4 linked regions of the Caenorhabditis elegans genome follow. The protein of the gene in region 1 purifies or fractionates together with the protein of each later gene. This does not show direct contact. Each region holds a gene or a part of one and is shown in the gene's direction. Other genes may lie near its edges.

Region 1 (3,338 bases):
AACGGGAAAAAGCTGTGAAAAACAAAAGAAAACAGACGGAAAACAAAGCAAGATAAATGGCCGCTGAAACTTGTCGGCCCCTCGGCCATGACCTAGAAACCACTTTTCCTCGTCCCTCGTGAGGAAAAAGTTGCAGTGACATTCTCAAAGTAAACGACAAGCTTCCATGTGCAAAGGAATAAGTATCAGAAAATAGTAAAAGTGATCCGGAAAAAAGGTGTAACTTGGCTCATTGAGCCCCAGAAGTCATTGACCTGGAAGCACATTTGCGCGCCTTTGCACCCTCCAGACACTTTGTGGTTAGTGTGTGTGTGGCGGCATTGGGCTGTCAGACAGAGAGCAGTGAAACTCATAAATCTGGCCGTCTCCTAAACGATTAATTGCCTCCTCCTCCTCCTCCCTCCGGTACCCCATTTCATTGTTATGCTTTTGACCGTTTGCCGCCCGCTGTCAGCTCAAAATTCATGGATTAGAGTGGAATTTGCAACATGACAATGTTGAAATAACTGTTGGGAAACTCGAGAAATGCCATCTGGTTGTGATTTGGAGCGAAATTTCTTTGGAAAATGTGCTTTAAAACATGCCTAGCAGGGCTGGGACATGGTTTTTTGGTAGAAATTGACGGAAAATTGAATTTTGGGGTTTTTAAGACCAAGAAAACTAAAAATGTTTTTCAAAAAAGCTGTTTTAGTTATTATGACGGAAAAACAATCGAAAATTTGTCGTTTTTTTTTCGGGGAAAGTTGATTTTTTAGAAAATTCGATTTTTTTAGAAAATTCGATTTTTTTTGAAAAATTCGACTTTTTTCTCGGTTTCTTGGAGAAATTATTTCTTTTCTTTTTTTTTTGAATAAATTCGATTTTTTTTCGGTTTTTTGGAGAAATTCGACTTTTTTGCCGAATAAACTGCCAAAAAGCTGGAAATAAAGGGATTTTAGATAAAAATACGGGATTTTTACACTTTAAACCGTCATCAGTACGAAATTCGGTAGTTTTGGGCCATTTTCAGTATGAAAAGCCCCCTTAAACTAAATTTCACAAATTCAGGCTTGAAAGATCTGAATTACACCCTGGAAACAACTAAAATGCGCACAAAATGGAAATCTTTGAGGAAAAGGATCAAAAACTGGAATTCCGCCTACAAATGGGAAGACACATGAAAAAACTAGTAGAATATAGTGTAAAAATCAATATTAACGTGCAGAAACAAGCGAAAAACATTTTAAAACAATTTAAAACCATTTAAAACAAAAATTAATTAAAATTTGAAACTCGTGCCGAAATTTAAACGCTTCACCTCTCAAAACACGCTTTTACCGTAGTCCGATCAACAGAGCGGCCGACAAGTGACGCATAAGTGTACGAAACACGCTCCTCAACGCACTCCTCGCCCGTCTCTCGTAAATCGATAGAAGCAACGTTTTTGAGCATTTTTTCAGGGAGCATGTTGATTTTTTTGATATTTTTTGTCTTAAATTGATGAAATTTCAATTAAGCTGCAAAATGAAACTAATTTTTTGAGATTCTGACGAGATTTCGATTTTTTAGAGCTGAAAAATGCTTTTTCATGGTTTTGTTGATTTAAATTGTTCCTTTTGCGATTTTCTCATCTTAAAGCTCATTGTTTTCAGGTAACATGGCCTCGTTGACCCGAGCTGTAACCCGACTGGCCATCGCCGGCCGCCAAGCCGTCCGGACCATCGCCACCACCACCCCAGTCTCCGGACACGGTGACGACATCATGGAGAAGTGGCCCGCTGATAGTGAGTTTTTTTTTTTGAGTAGGAGTATTTGATATTTTCCCAAAAACCGGCAGTATGAGAAAATAGCTAAACAAATACTACGTGCTAAACACCACATTTTAAAAAATGCTTTCAAAAGTTCAATTTTTTGATTTTAGAGTTCGACAATCACTTCATCAACTACCTCAATCGCCCAGAAATCGACGGATGGGAGGTCAGAAAGGGTATGTTCTCGAAAGCACTGCAGAAAAAATTGATTTTTCCCTTAAAAATGGATTTTTCCGGAAAAAAAATGCACCAGCTTTCCGTAGATCAATTTTCTAGCTTTCAGCTCTCTCCGAGTTGCATGACTACGACGTTATCCCAGACCCAAAGGTCGTCGAAGCTGCCCTTCGTGCGTGCCGCCGTGTCAACGACTTTGCTTTGGCTGTTCGTTTCCTTGAGGCTATCAAGATCAAGTGCGGAGCCCAGAAGAACCGTGATACCGTCTACGCCTACATTGTTAAGCAGGTTCGGCCCCAAAATTCTAATTCTTACAAGCTGCGGCTGCTAGCCGCCAGCTCATTCTAGTCACATCTTCAGAATCTTTAATTATCAGCGAATTTTGAAGTGTTTTTCACTGGGAAAAAAACACGTAGTTTCTTTTTCCAGGTCGAGCCAGTGCTCAAGGAGCTCGGAATCGACACACCGGAACAACTCGGATACGGAGAGCCAGAATTCTTCGTGCCAGAGCCGGAATATTGGTGGGAGAAGAAGTGGTACAAGGACTACGGATACGACAAACACCCAAATATCCAAATTTAAATTTTCCATTCTGCAAATTTAGTGGCTCAGTCTGTTTATTTGATTTTTAGAATGTGGATATGATAATGTCACCGCGAGATAACGATAAACGTTTGGATCTGACTGTTTTTCAGAGCCCCTTTAATGTTCAACTTCCCCCTTAAATTCATAATTTTAATTTCTTCTTTTTCTCCATTTACATCTCTTCTAAATTTTGAATAGAATTTTGATGGATATGGATCGGTTGAATGCTGATGCGGGGGCTTCTCATTTTCGAAACCCAATTTTTTATTAGGACATTTATTCGATTAGTCATTTTTCAGGAGCCGTCGGAAACGTCAGAAGTGATTAGAAATGCATGAAGGCTTCGATTTCGGCTCTCCCGGAGCTCAATATTTTCAGGGTACCTCACATCCAATTTCCAAGTCATCCTGCAATTTATTCGGACATATTGACGCAGCCGGACGGACCATCGATGAATTATTAATATTCCATATGGATAACGATGTCATCAGGAGATGACGATTACTTTTTCTGACTTTTCCCAACTTTTTTGTGGACATCTTTTCGTACTCGCTGGAGCACAACGGACACTTTTTGAAACATTTTTTTTGCCTTTTCTTGGATGATTGATGTAATACAGTAGGACGACATGTACTTGAAAGAAAAAATCCCATTTTTCCTGAAGGATTTATAGTTTTTACTAAATTTTTTTTTTCGGTTGCCCGGCAACATTTTGCCAATTTTCAAGTGGTCCCCCGCAGGTTTTTATTCGAATTTCAAGTGTAGCGCCCACCACATGACGTCTGAAAA
Region 2 (3,173 bases), on another chromosome or scaffold:
GAAAACAAGAAAAATCGATGGATTTCAGTGCAAATTAATACAGTAATCTTAAAGGCAGATATTCAAAGCTTTTTAAATCAGTTCACCGCTCGTGTCGAGACCATTACTCTTTAAACTCTTCAAAATCGTAGAAGAGGAAAATAATGGAAAATAACTTCGTTCTTCCAAAAGCAAGTGAATGTGCTTTTCAAAATCTGAACATTTCTAAATACAAAGTTTTGGAAGTGTACTTTTTTACAACCATAATTATATTATAACAAACAGTAATTTTCAGTCAGACACCATTTTCATATTTCTCGATGCTGAAAAATTTGCAACAACTTAGGATAATCCCAAAGAACCGATCCAAATGAGAAAAAATACCATGCCCTATAACCGGTTTCAACTGAACCTAAAATGTCGTGATCGACCTTTCGTCGAATGCATGCCCATTCAACGTTGAGCCGATTTGAGTGCTATTTCAACATGAAATTTTTGATTCTGTCCTTTCTTCTCGTATCAATTTGCTCTGGAGGTGGTGGATTCCCGATTCAAATGTTGACAAAATGTGGAATTTCAAAAGAAACCATTGATGGCGTTCAAAGTGTAATCGACGAACATTCGGTATTTTTAAAACGACTTCTTAGATATTGAAAAATTTTTCAGGCAATGATTAAAATTGCTAACTCGAACAAGCGTGCCAAAAAAACCGAAATCGATTCTTTGAAGGCAGATATTGATTTATATTTAGATGAACATGCATCTGACGACGACAAGGTAGGATTTCTAATCTAAATTTTACATATTTATTTTTTCCAGAAAAGATGGATTGAGTGCTTCACAAAGAACAACTCCTAATTGTCTTGATTTTTCACTTTTTTTTTGAATAAAAAATTTTAACGTGTTGATAAGCTGTAACACTTTATATTCATAACAACAACGTAACAAACGTCATTTATGCGTCAGTCTTTTGGACCTTAGCCTTCTTCACTTGGGAGCGGACGATGGCGGCGGCACGACGTTGAGCGAGCTTGTTGAACTTGTTGAATCCGGCGTTCTTGGCCAAGCGACGGACTGAAGCAACTGGGGTCTTGCTCAAGGTGGAGGTGGTGACGGCCTTGGCTGGTCTTCCCTCTGAGAAAAAACAGTGTAAAAAATAAATTTTTAAAAAATCTCTTACTCTCGTTCTTGGTAGATACAACGACTCCCTTGGCGGCGGCGCTGACGTCGATGGCGTGCTTGTTAGCGAGTCCACTGTATTTTGGGCTGTTCACCTTCTTGAGGTTGAACTTCTCAGTGGAGAATCGCTTTCCGATTCCGCGCTGGGTTCTGAGGAAAGCGCTGTTGTTGCGGATGACTTGCCACACGAGAGCGTCGGACATTTTACCTGGAAATAAATTATTTTATGATGAAAGTTAAATACAATAAGATACAACGGGAAACGTAAGAAAAATTCAATAAAATCAATTGTACACGTAGGTTTTCAAGCAAATTTAAGAATACAATTTTACAAAGTCCTAAATGTCATTTTTCCTGCTCAAACTTTTGACTGAAATGCATAAAAATTCGCTGATAAAAACAAGCAGAATACGCCAAAATAGTTGCAAATTATAAAATTTACAGAATTAATACAAAAAATTCGATATTTTACTCAAAAAAATGGAAAAAAAGAAGAAAAATAAATTAAACTTTCGTTGAGCTGGCCTAAAATCTAATAGCAAGCGCGCTCCATTGCCAAACGGTGTAAACGCGGAGCCTCGTTTGCGTGTAGTTTTTATCGTAAATCGACACAACTTCTTTCAAAATAAATTATTTCTTATGAGTAATTTTCTGCATTCTATTGTTGTGTTTCAATTAATCTTATTTTTAATTTGATTTTATTCAAAATTATATAATTTTATTAAGATGCTGGGTTCTTCTCTCCGCATTTTCTCCCCTCGAGCAGTTTCCAGGTTGTCTTTTTCAACAACTTCAGTCGAAAAAGCTGAGAAACTTTGGGAAAATCCATGGAAACATGCTCTCCCTGAAAAGTGTAAGTTATTTATTATCATATAATTTTTCTACTAGCAATTACAGCCAGAAGTCTTGCAACGGTCGAAGAAGCTCCTATCGATTGGTCGTATGTGGAAAGATTGATGCCAATAGAAGTGGTGCCGAATGTTCCTGAGCACGAAAAGTATCCTACACCAAGCGGATGGACACCACCGACAGGTATATACAGATTAAATTCATACCGCATCGAAATATTTCAGAAGCAGCCAAGACACATCAATACTACATTCGACGTCGTCATGACCATCTTCTTCCTCTTTATTTGGAACGAAAAAGGGATTTACTGAATGAGAAAACGTTGGATTTTGATTATGTCGAGCTAGTAACTATCAGAAACGTCGACGGAGACATTTTTGTAAGTTGGGAACATTATTAAATCCTGAATCAACATAAATATCTTTCAGGCTTGCGAAAATGATCTCCGCTCCTATCTTGAAGAACATCTTGGACATTCGATCGCCAGTCACGTCGATGAGTTGAAAGGTCGTATCAAAATTAAAGGAGCTCCACGTGTTCTTATTGAGCAATTCTTCTACAGCAAAGGATTCTAGATGTATTCTTGATATATCTTTTAGTTTTTTATCTAGGCAGATTTGTTTTGTTGTGAATTTATTGTTGGAGAATGAACTAGAAAAATTCAATTGTCTACTTTATCATTTTTACCTTCAAACCGGTTATTTCACCGTCATTTCCTTATTCTCTTCATTTTGTATCATTGCGAAATGCCGAAATTCTTCTCTAGAATGCCTTCCTCAATTTGTTGCACAAACTGCAGAACTAAATATTCATTATTAAACAGAGAAGTTATTTTCTGGCATCAAAAACTAATTAATTTCTATTTTTTCAGGCCGGCTGCTCGAATTGTGCTCTCTCCTTCTGTAAGAAATGTCTGCCTCATCGTGCAATTATTCCCACACTTTCGGATTTACCAATGATTGTCTGTAACAATTGCTATCAAAAATTGGAATCTGCCAAAATGAAGCCCAGCGCGACTGTAAGAAAAAGAACAAAGTAAAAACTAAATAGATATTAATCCCACGATTTTTTTCAGATAACATCAACGCCTCTACCAGATAATTCGAATAAATCGAATAAAAATTGGTGGGGTGATGGACTTCCACCGCCATCATTCAGGAATTCGC
Region 3 (3,247 bases), on another chromosome or scaffold:
ATTTTTCCTAAATTTATTCGCTATTTCCACTACAAAAGCGCGGAAAAAAGAACCGATACCCGTAATAGAAAGCTTTTCGTTGAGATTTATCCAAAAAAAAAGTGAAAGGAATCAGGCTCGATGGAGCGGAGCACGAGGGTTTTCTAATCAGGCCTGTGTTATAATTAAAAGCGCGAATGACAAACGAAAGAGAATGAATATGATGCATAATCCGCCCGAAAAGTATGAAAAGTGGCGGGTTGCAGATTATGATCAAATATTATTACTTTGATCTACAAACGTTAAAGATTGTAAAATTAATGAAATACTCGTTTTTAATTTTTAAACCTAGAAATTTTCGGTAAATTCGACAAAAAAATTAGAAAAAAACTAATTTCTACTGTAGTAAATATTTTTTCTGGAGAAGAGAAGAAATATAATTTTTCCTCTCCCAATTCGTGAAGATTTTGATATTTTATTCTGGGAATTGGGCTTTTTTTTTTCAATAATTTGACGTTTAAAACTCGCTATAGGGGGTTGTTTTCAATTTTTCACACCTCGGCCTCTTTCTTCTTTCCCCCACGCGGTTTCTTTTGCTTCTTCTCTTTTTCAACTGGAACTGGAGACCGGTTTCTGACCGATGGCGATGAATCGGCGCTACTCATCTCTATAGTACGACGAATATCTCGAGTTTTACTACGAGACACACGGCCTTCGATTCCAACGCCATAGGTTTTTAGGAACTGAAAAACGATTTTGGTTTTAGAAAATTTAAGAACAATTTCGTACTTTTTCAGATGGATCTTGCAATCTATTCGGATCAGCCAGCCTTTTGGCTTCTCCTTGCGCAGATTCATCCGGCTTCTCGTATATATCATCGTCAATATCTTTTGTAATCCATGTTTGCTGCTTCTTCGGTCTCCCTTTCTTATTTGCTACAGTTGCCTTATTAGTGACATCTTCAAATCGTTTAGGATGCTCTGTTTGGAATCTTTGTATCTCCAAATTTTCATATCCACCATGAAAATTTTCTATAGGCTCCCAAGATGTCGATTTATCAGCTTGCCATAAAACGAGAAACTCGACTCTTTTCAATTTTCCATTGTACCGCATTTCTTGTACTTTTTCGACCTGAAAAAAAGTTGAATGTATTTCTGTTTCAGTCAAATTGCAGTATTACCACCCAGTGATCCTCGTCTATTTCTTCTTCTTCTTCATCTTCTTCGTCTTCCTCACCTCCTTGTTCATCTTCTTCTGATTCTTCCAATGTTTGAACCGAGCTTTCCTCTTCAGTGTCTACGTTGACTTGGGTCTCGCTGGAGCTTGACATTCTGAAAACTAAAACAAGTGTTGTGAAAGCGGTAATTTAAGAGTGGTTACAAGTGTAAAAACTGACAATTTTCATGAAGTTTATTATCCAAGAACATTAAAAGGTGGTTGAGGTCAGAAGAACAGCTCACAAGAGAATTAGAAAGGATATTACAACGGGAGACAAAGGGTGAAGAATGTACTTAGACTGTAAGGCAATCATTGTGATAAATATTAAAAGTGACATGAGTCACAAGAAGGGAATGGTATGTGTTCTCGTACAAGCACTAGCTGTCAAAAAAATCAAAACACAATGGGGTCTCGTGAATTATGAGAAATTCTATTAGGAAATACTTTTAAATTGATTAATTAAATGTAAAAGAACAATCTGTATGGTTTAAATTGAATTATAGTTTTATTGAATTATAGTTTTAGACCTAAAATTATGAACGAATTAAAAAATGAATTCAGCTCAAAAAACATCTGATTTACGATAAACAACACGCGGTACCGTTATACCGGAGTGTCGTTGAAAACGCGAACATTTTTTTTATTTTCATATTTTTTCCTCTCAATTTATTGATTTTAATTAAATATTCTTTTCTATTTTTTCTAATCCGTCACAGTATTGTAATTTTAAATTATTTATTAATGGAGTAATTTACAGATGCTTCGTGCTGGAGCCTCTCGTTGCCTTTCGGCGGGAAACACGGCTTTCCGTTGCCTCTCGACTGGAAAGGACAACCTACCGGTCACAAGATCGCATGATGCCAAAAAGGTTGAGCTCAACGATATTCTTGACAAACCGTCTCAAAAAGTAAGATTTAAATGTTGATTTTTCCTGTTTTAATACACGAAATTCAGCGAATTGCACTTAAATTGTTTATACTTGACATTTTTATTGAAATAAATATTTCAGACTCCAGTAAAAGTATCATCCGATGAGACAATGGATATCGGAGGTGTTCCACTTGATCACCAAGATGCCCGTACCGCTCGCATCTTCCGTCCAGCAAGAGAGACTACACAAAGTGCTTGGGGTAATACCAAGTCCTGGACCATTGAGCTGGATAATCGTCAAAGATGGGAAAATCCATTGATGGGATGGTCTGGAACGTGAGTAGCATCTTAATGAAGTTTAAAGTTTAAAAAAAAAATTTAGTGCGGATCCACTCTCCAATGTTGGAATGGATCTCAAGTTTGCCACAAAAGAGGACGCTATCGCTTTCTGTGAAAAGAATCGCTGGGAGTTTGACGTCGAGGAGCCACATGAGCGCAAGATTAAGCCAAAGAATTACGGACAAAACTTCTCATGGAACAGAAGAACCAGAATTGGAACTAAGTAAATTTCTATTAAAAGACGAAGTAAACTGAACCGCTTCTATTTAGATTTTGTTTTTTTTTGTGTAGAAAATGAAGATTTATCTCGATATTGTACTGAAAACTATTATTGTATTGGTTTCTTGTTGGTTTCAAAAATATCCAACTTGTATTTTTTTAAAATTTGATTTCCCTGTTTATTTTCTATATTTCTTATAAATCACCAGATGTCAACGGCACATCTACCTCCAGCGATGCGAACAAATGTTCCAGATCAACAGTCAACTGTGCAGAAGTTACTCGATGAAAACTCAAGGCTGATCGATATTATACAGGAATATTTAAATCAGGTTTGTTTGTTTTTTTTTGCAAAAAAGGAGTACCTTAAAATACTCACTATTCCCAAATGCCGAAATACCACAAAAGAAAATCGTAAAAATTGCTAAGTATGAAAAAAAAGATGATTTTGGCGATTTTTCAACTGTTCCTCATTTGAATTACCGCACTATGGTCTATAAATACCGTCCATAGAACCGTGTCGCACTTTTCAATTTTGGCACAAATTTATCTTTTTTGTGTTGTTTTTCTAATTTTTAATAAAGAAATACGTCATAAATGTGCAAAATTGTTTTTAAAAAAT
Region 4 (3,168 bases), on another chromosome or scaffold:
ATTTTTGGTTGAGGCTTTCTGGATTTTTAGTTGAGGCTCTCTGGATTTTTGGTTGAGGCTCTCAGGATTTTTGGTTGAGGCTTTCTGGATTTTTGGGTGAGGCTCTCTGGATTTTTGGTTGAGGCTCAGGATTTTTGGTTGAGGCTTTCTGGTTTTTTGGTTGAGGCTCTCTGGATTTTTGGTTGAGGCTCTCAGGATTTTTGGTTGAGGCTTTCTGGATTTTTGGGTGAGGCTCTCTGGATTTTTGGTTGAGGCTCAGGATTTTTGGTTGAGGCTTTCTGGATTTTTGGTTGAGGCTCTCTGGATTTTTGGTTGAGGCTCTCAGGATTTTTGGTTGAGGCTTTCTGGATTTTTGGGTGAGGCTCTCTGGATTTTTGGTTGAGGCTCAGGATTTTTGGTTGAGGCTTTCTAGATTTTTGGGGCTTAGGATTTTTATATATATTTTTTGGACTTTTGAAGAATTTATTAACTTTTTAGCAACATTTATAGAAATCTAAGAAAAATGATTGCTTTTTTAATCGATTTTCGAAATATTAAAATCAAAAATTGGTTCAATTTCAGGAACATTTAGGAATTTCAGATTTCAATTTTCAAGTTATTTTTACAAAAAAAGTCGATTTTTTGCTGCTTTTACCTCAAACGGAGCATATTTCTTGAGCTCTTGTGTCAGATATTGCTTGATTTGTTCCCGTTCCAGACGGTCATCGAAGCCGGAAATTCGAAGATTCAGGTAGACTTCTGGTGAGTGGCTTCCGAAGCGTTCCCTGAACAAAATAGAGAAAATTATGATTTTTTTATTGGTTTTTTGTGATTTTTTTCGGCAATTTTTTCTTCAAAAAGCTCCTTACCGATAATAACTGGAAAGTCCGTTGCAATTCGGTCGGTATTGAGGTCTACCGCGTTCTTCTGCCATTTTTCGCTGAAGAAATTCGAATTTAATTCGTTTTCGAGAAGAATCGGCATTTTTAGTTAAATTTCTTAGTGATTCAGGTGTAGAATGAAACGAATAAAAGAAGCAATAATAAGACACAGAAAAAGTAGAGAGTAAGCTAGAAATAAGATTGACTAAACACTGAGTTTTTGCTGAAAAAGCCGATTTTTCTCAAAATTACAGCTGGAATAGAACAGACAGTACAATAGAAATAGAGTTTTAATATGAATTTTAATATTAAAGAATCTGAAAATATATTTAAACACCAGAAATTTGTGTAAATCGATGAATTTGTAGAGCTCGTGAGCTAATCAATTATTTGCCAGCGATGTGTGCATTCTGACGTGACGGTGTACGTTCGCGGTGGTTGCGTACTTTAAATTGTTGACCGTACTCGGTACTCGGCGATGCACTGCGCATTCTAGGAAATCGATTTTCTTCTATTTTTTGATTTTTAAATCGAAATTTCTAAAATAATTCATGGTTTTCTGTCAATTTCAGATTTAAAATTGACAATTTTCAATTAAAATATCAAATTTCATTCTAAAAATCCACTAGAAACGAGGCTCCACGATTCCGGCGCTCTCTGTTTATTTTGCACGTTTCCAAAGGGCGCTTCGAGCTTTTCCCAGTGTTTTATTGAATTTTATGTGTTCTCGTCCCATTTTCTCAGTTAAATCATGCATTAAAATTATGAAACTGCATTGATTACCTCTTTTTTCCCGGAAAAATCGTATTTCGTTAATTAAAAAAAGTCGATAAGGCTCAATTAAATAAATCTATTTTCAGGATGGTTGCCGCTTCTGCCACCCGTAACATGCTCCATCAATATGGCCGTCGCGCCATCGGCATCTCGTTGATCGCCTCCGTCGGCGCCACCGCCGCCTTCTTCTTCGGATACGTTCAGCCAAGACACGAGAAATACGAACGCTTCTTCGCGTATGTATTTTCAACTTTTTCATAAAATGTTGGTTGAAATTAACCGCGAAATTAGTGAAAAGAGCGAATGTTTGACATCCAGAATTCGTAAAAAATATGGAATTCAGTATAAATTTGCGATCCGTGGTGCCAAAATCGAAGAAAATCGCTAATTTTTCCGGATTTTCACTTTAACAAGTCTCGAAATCAGTTTTTTTATTGGGAAATTTATCGTTTTTGCTGATATTTCACTCAGGATGACCACTAGAAGCTTGTGAACCTCTGACACGATTTTTTGTCGATTTACGGAGCTCAATTTTATACTAAATTTTAGCTACATTTCGTCTAATTTTGCCTGATACTGGTCCAAAATGGAGAATTTCAGTTCTAATAGGAAACAAAAAATTAAAATACACACTTTTCCTCAAGGAGTACACGAGCAATTGACAAAAAATTAAAAAAAAAACAATTTACGTTCAAAATCGTGAATTTTATGTCATTTTCCCCCTGAAAATTCAATTTTTCTTTCAGCAACTACGATCCATACACCAGAATGAAGGAGATCTGTGCCGCGAACAAGGGATACATGCACACATGCCCACAGGAGCTCGCCAAGCTCTACGAGGAGAAGGGCAAGACTGTTGCCGATTTGTAGACGCCCACGCCTCGAATCTTGTGTGTGTTCTTGTACTATTTTGTTAGTCAATTTCTTATTCTCTTCGAAATGTTGCGATATTCTTAAATAGCTTGGTTTGTTCCGAATAAAAATGTTCGTAATCCGTTTCTTCGATGAGAGCCGAGGTCTCGGTTTCTCTGCACTCTCCCCTGACAACTACAGACTCTAATTGGCACGCCGGACACCTTTTTTCTCGTCTACCATGTGTTCTGCTGCTTTTGCAAAAATATATGGATTTCTTGAGCATTTAATCGCCGAGAAATCGATTTCCCCGTGGATTTTCACGATTTTGTGTCTGCGGAAACAATTTCCCTGGAGTTTGAATTTCGTGGAGCCAGATTCGCAAAAATTTTTAGTATCTAGCTTTTTGAACAAAGTTTTATGATAATTTAGGGTCTCGCCACGCTGATTACGCATCAGAATACTAAAAATTTGAATATAAAAAATTTCGGTGAATTCGAATCCACGTGAGCTATTTTCCAGGGTTTTTGATTCCACGGATATGAATTCCTGAAGATTTTCGTTTTTTGTGGTTTTTCAGCTGATTTTTTAGAAAATTTAAGATCTCGGTAAGAAAAATATTCCGCTGAAAAAAACGTCAAAAAATATAGAAAACTCGCAAAGCCGGATGGAAGCGAAGACC

Evidence for each region.
Region 2: the proteins of cox-5A (region 1) and mrpl-49 fractionate together in Caenorhabditis elegans (co-fractionation; one large-scale study listed by BioGRID). This does not show direct contact.
Region 3: the proteins of cox-5A (region 1) and lpd-5 fractionate together in Caenorhabditis elegans (co-fractionation; one large-scale study listed by BioGRID). This does not show direct contact.
Region 4: the proteins of cox-5A (region 1) and cox-6C purify together in Caenorhabditis elegans (affinity purification with mass spectrometry, with the first as the bait; one large-scale study listed by BioGRID). This does not show direct contact.

What each region holds. Positions count from the first base shown.
Region 1 is NC_003281.10:12,903,860-12,907,197, forward strand, and holds cox-5A (Cytochrome c oxidase subunit 5A, mitochondrial), read left to right. Parts: upstream 1-1,631; 5' UTR 1,632-1,636; coding exon 1,637-1,763; intron 1,764-1,900; coding exon 1,901-1,966; intron 1,967-2,073; coding exon 2,074-2,252; intron 2,253-2,393; coding exon 2,394-2,546; 3' UTR 2,547-2,760; downstream 2,761-3,338. UniProt on the Caenorhabditis elegans protein: Component of the cytochrome c oxidase, the last enzyme in the mitochondrial electron transport chain which drives oxidative phosphorylation.
Region 2 is NC_003283.11:12,726,747-12,729,919, forward strand, and holds mrpl-49 (Large ribosomal subunit protein mL49), read left to right. Parts: upstream 1-1,884; coding exon 1,885-2,011; intron 2,012-2,055; coding exon 2,056-2,190; intron 2,191-2,231; coding exon 2,232-2,386; intron 2,387-2,435; coding exon 2,436-2,582; 3' UTR 2,583-2,671; downstream 2,672-3,173. Other genes in the region: R11D1.13 (DUF148 domain-containing protein), read left to right, coding at 466-603, 646-756, 799-837; rpl-28 (Large ribosomal subunit protein eL28), read right to left, coding at 935-1,113, 1,160-1,361; zfyv-19 (FYVE-type domain-containing protein), read left to right, coding at 2,775-2,834, 2,879-3,025, 3,083-3,173.
Region 3 is NC_003279.8:4,371,726-4,374,972, reverse strand, and holds lpd-5 (NADH dehydrogenase [ubiquinone] iron-sulfur protein 4, mitochondrial), read left to right. Parts: upstream 1-1,954; coding exon 1,955-2,104; intron 2,105-2,206; coding exon 2,207-2,403; intron 2,404-2,449; coding exon 2,450-2,633; 3' UTR 2,634-2,718; downstream 2,719-3,247. Other genes in the region: cec-10 (Chromo domain-containing protein), read right to left, coding at 537-722, 769-1,110, 1,160-1,309; ZK973.9 (SS18 N-terminal domain-containing protein), read left to right, coding at 2,862-2,957.
Region 4 is NC_003282.8:125,011-128,178, forward strand, and holds cox-6C (Mitochondrial cytochrome c oxidase subunit VIc/VIIs domain-containing protein), read left to right. Parts: upstream 1-1,720; 5' UTR 1,721-1,721; coding exon 1,722-1,870; intron 1,871-2,380; coding exon 2,381-2,504; 3' UTR 2,505-2,630; downstream 2,631-3,168. Other genes in the region: grld-1 (RRM domain-containing protein), read right to left, coding at 635-764, 849-913.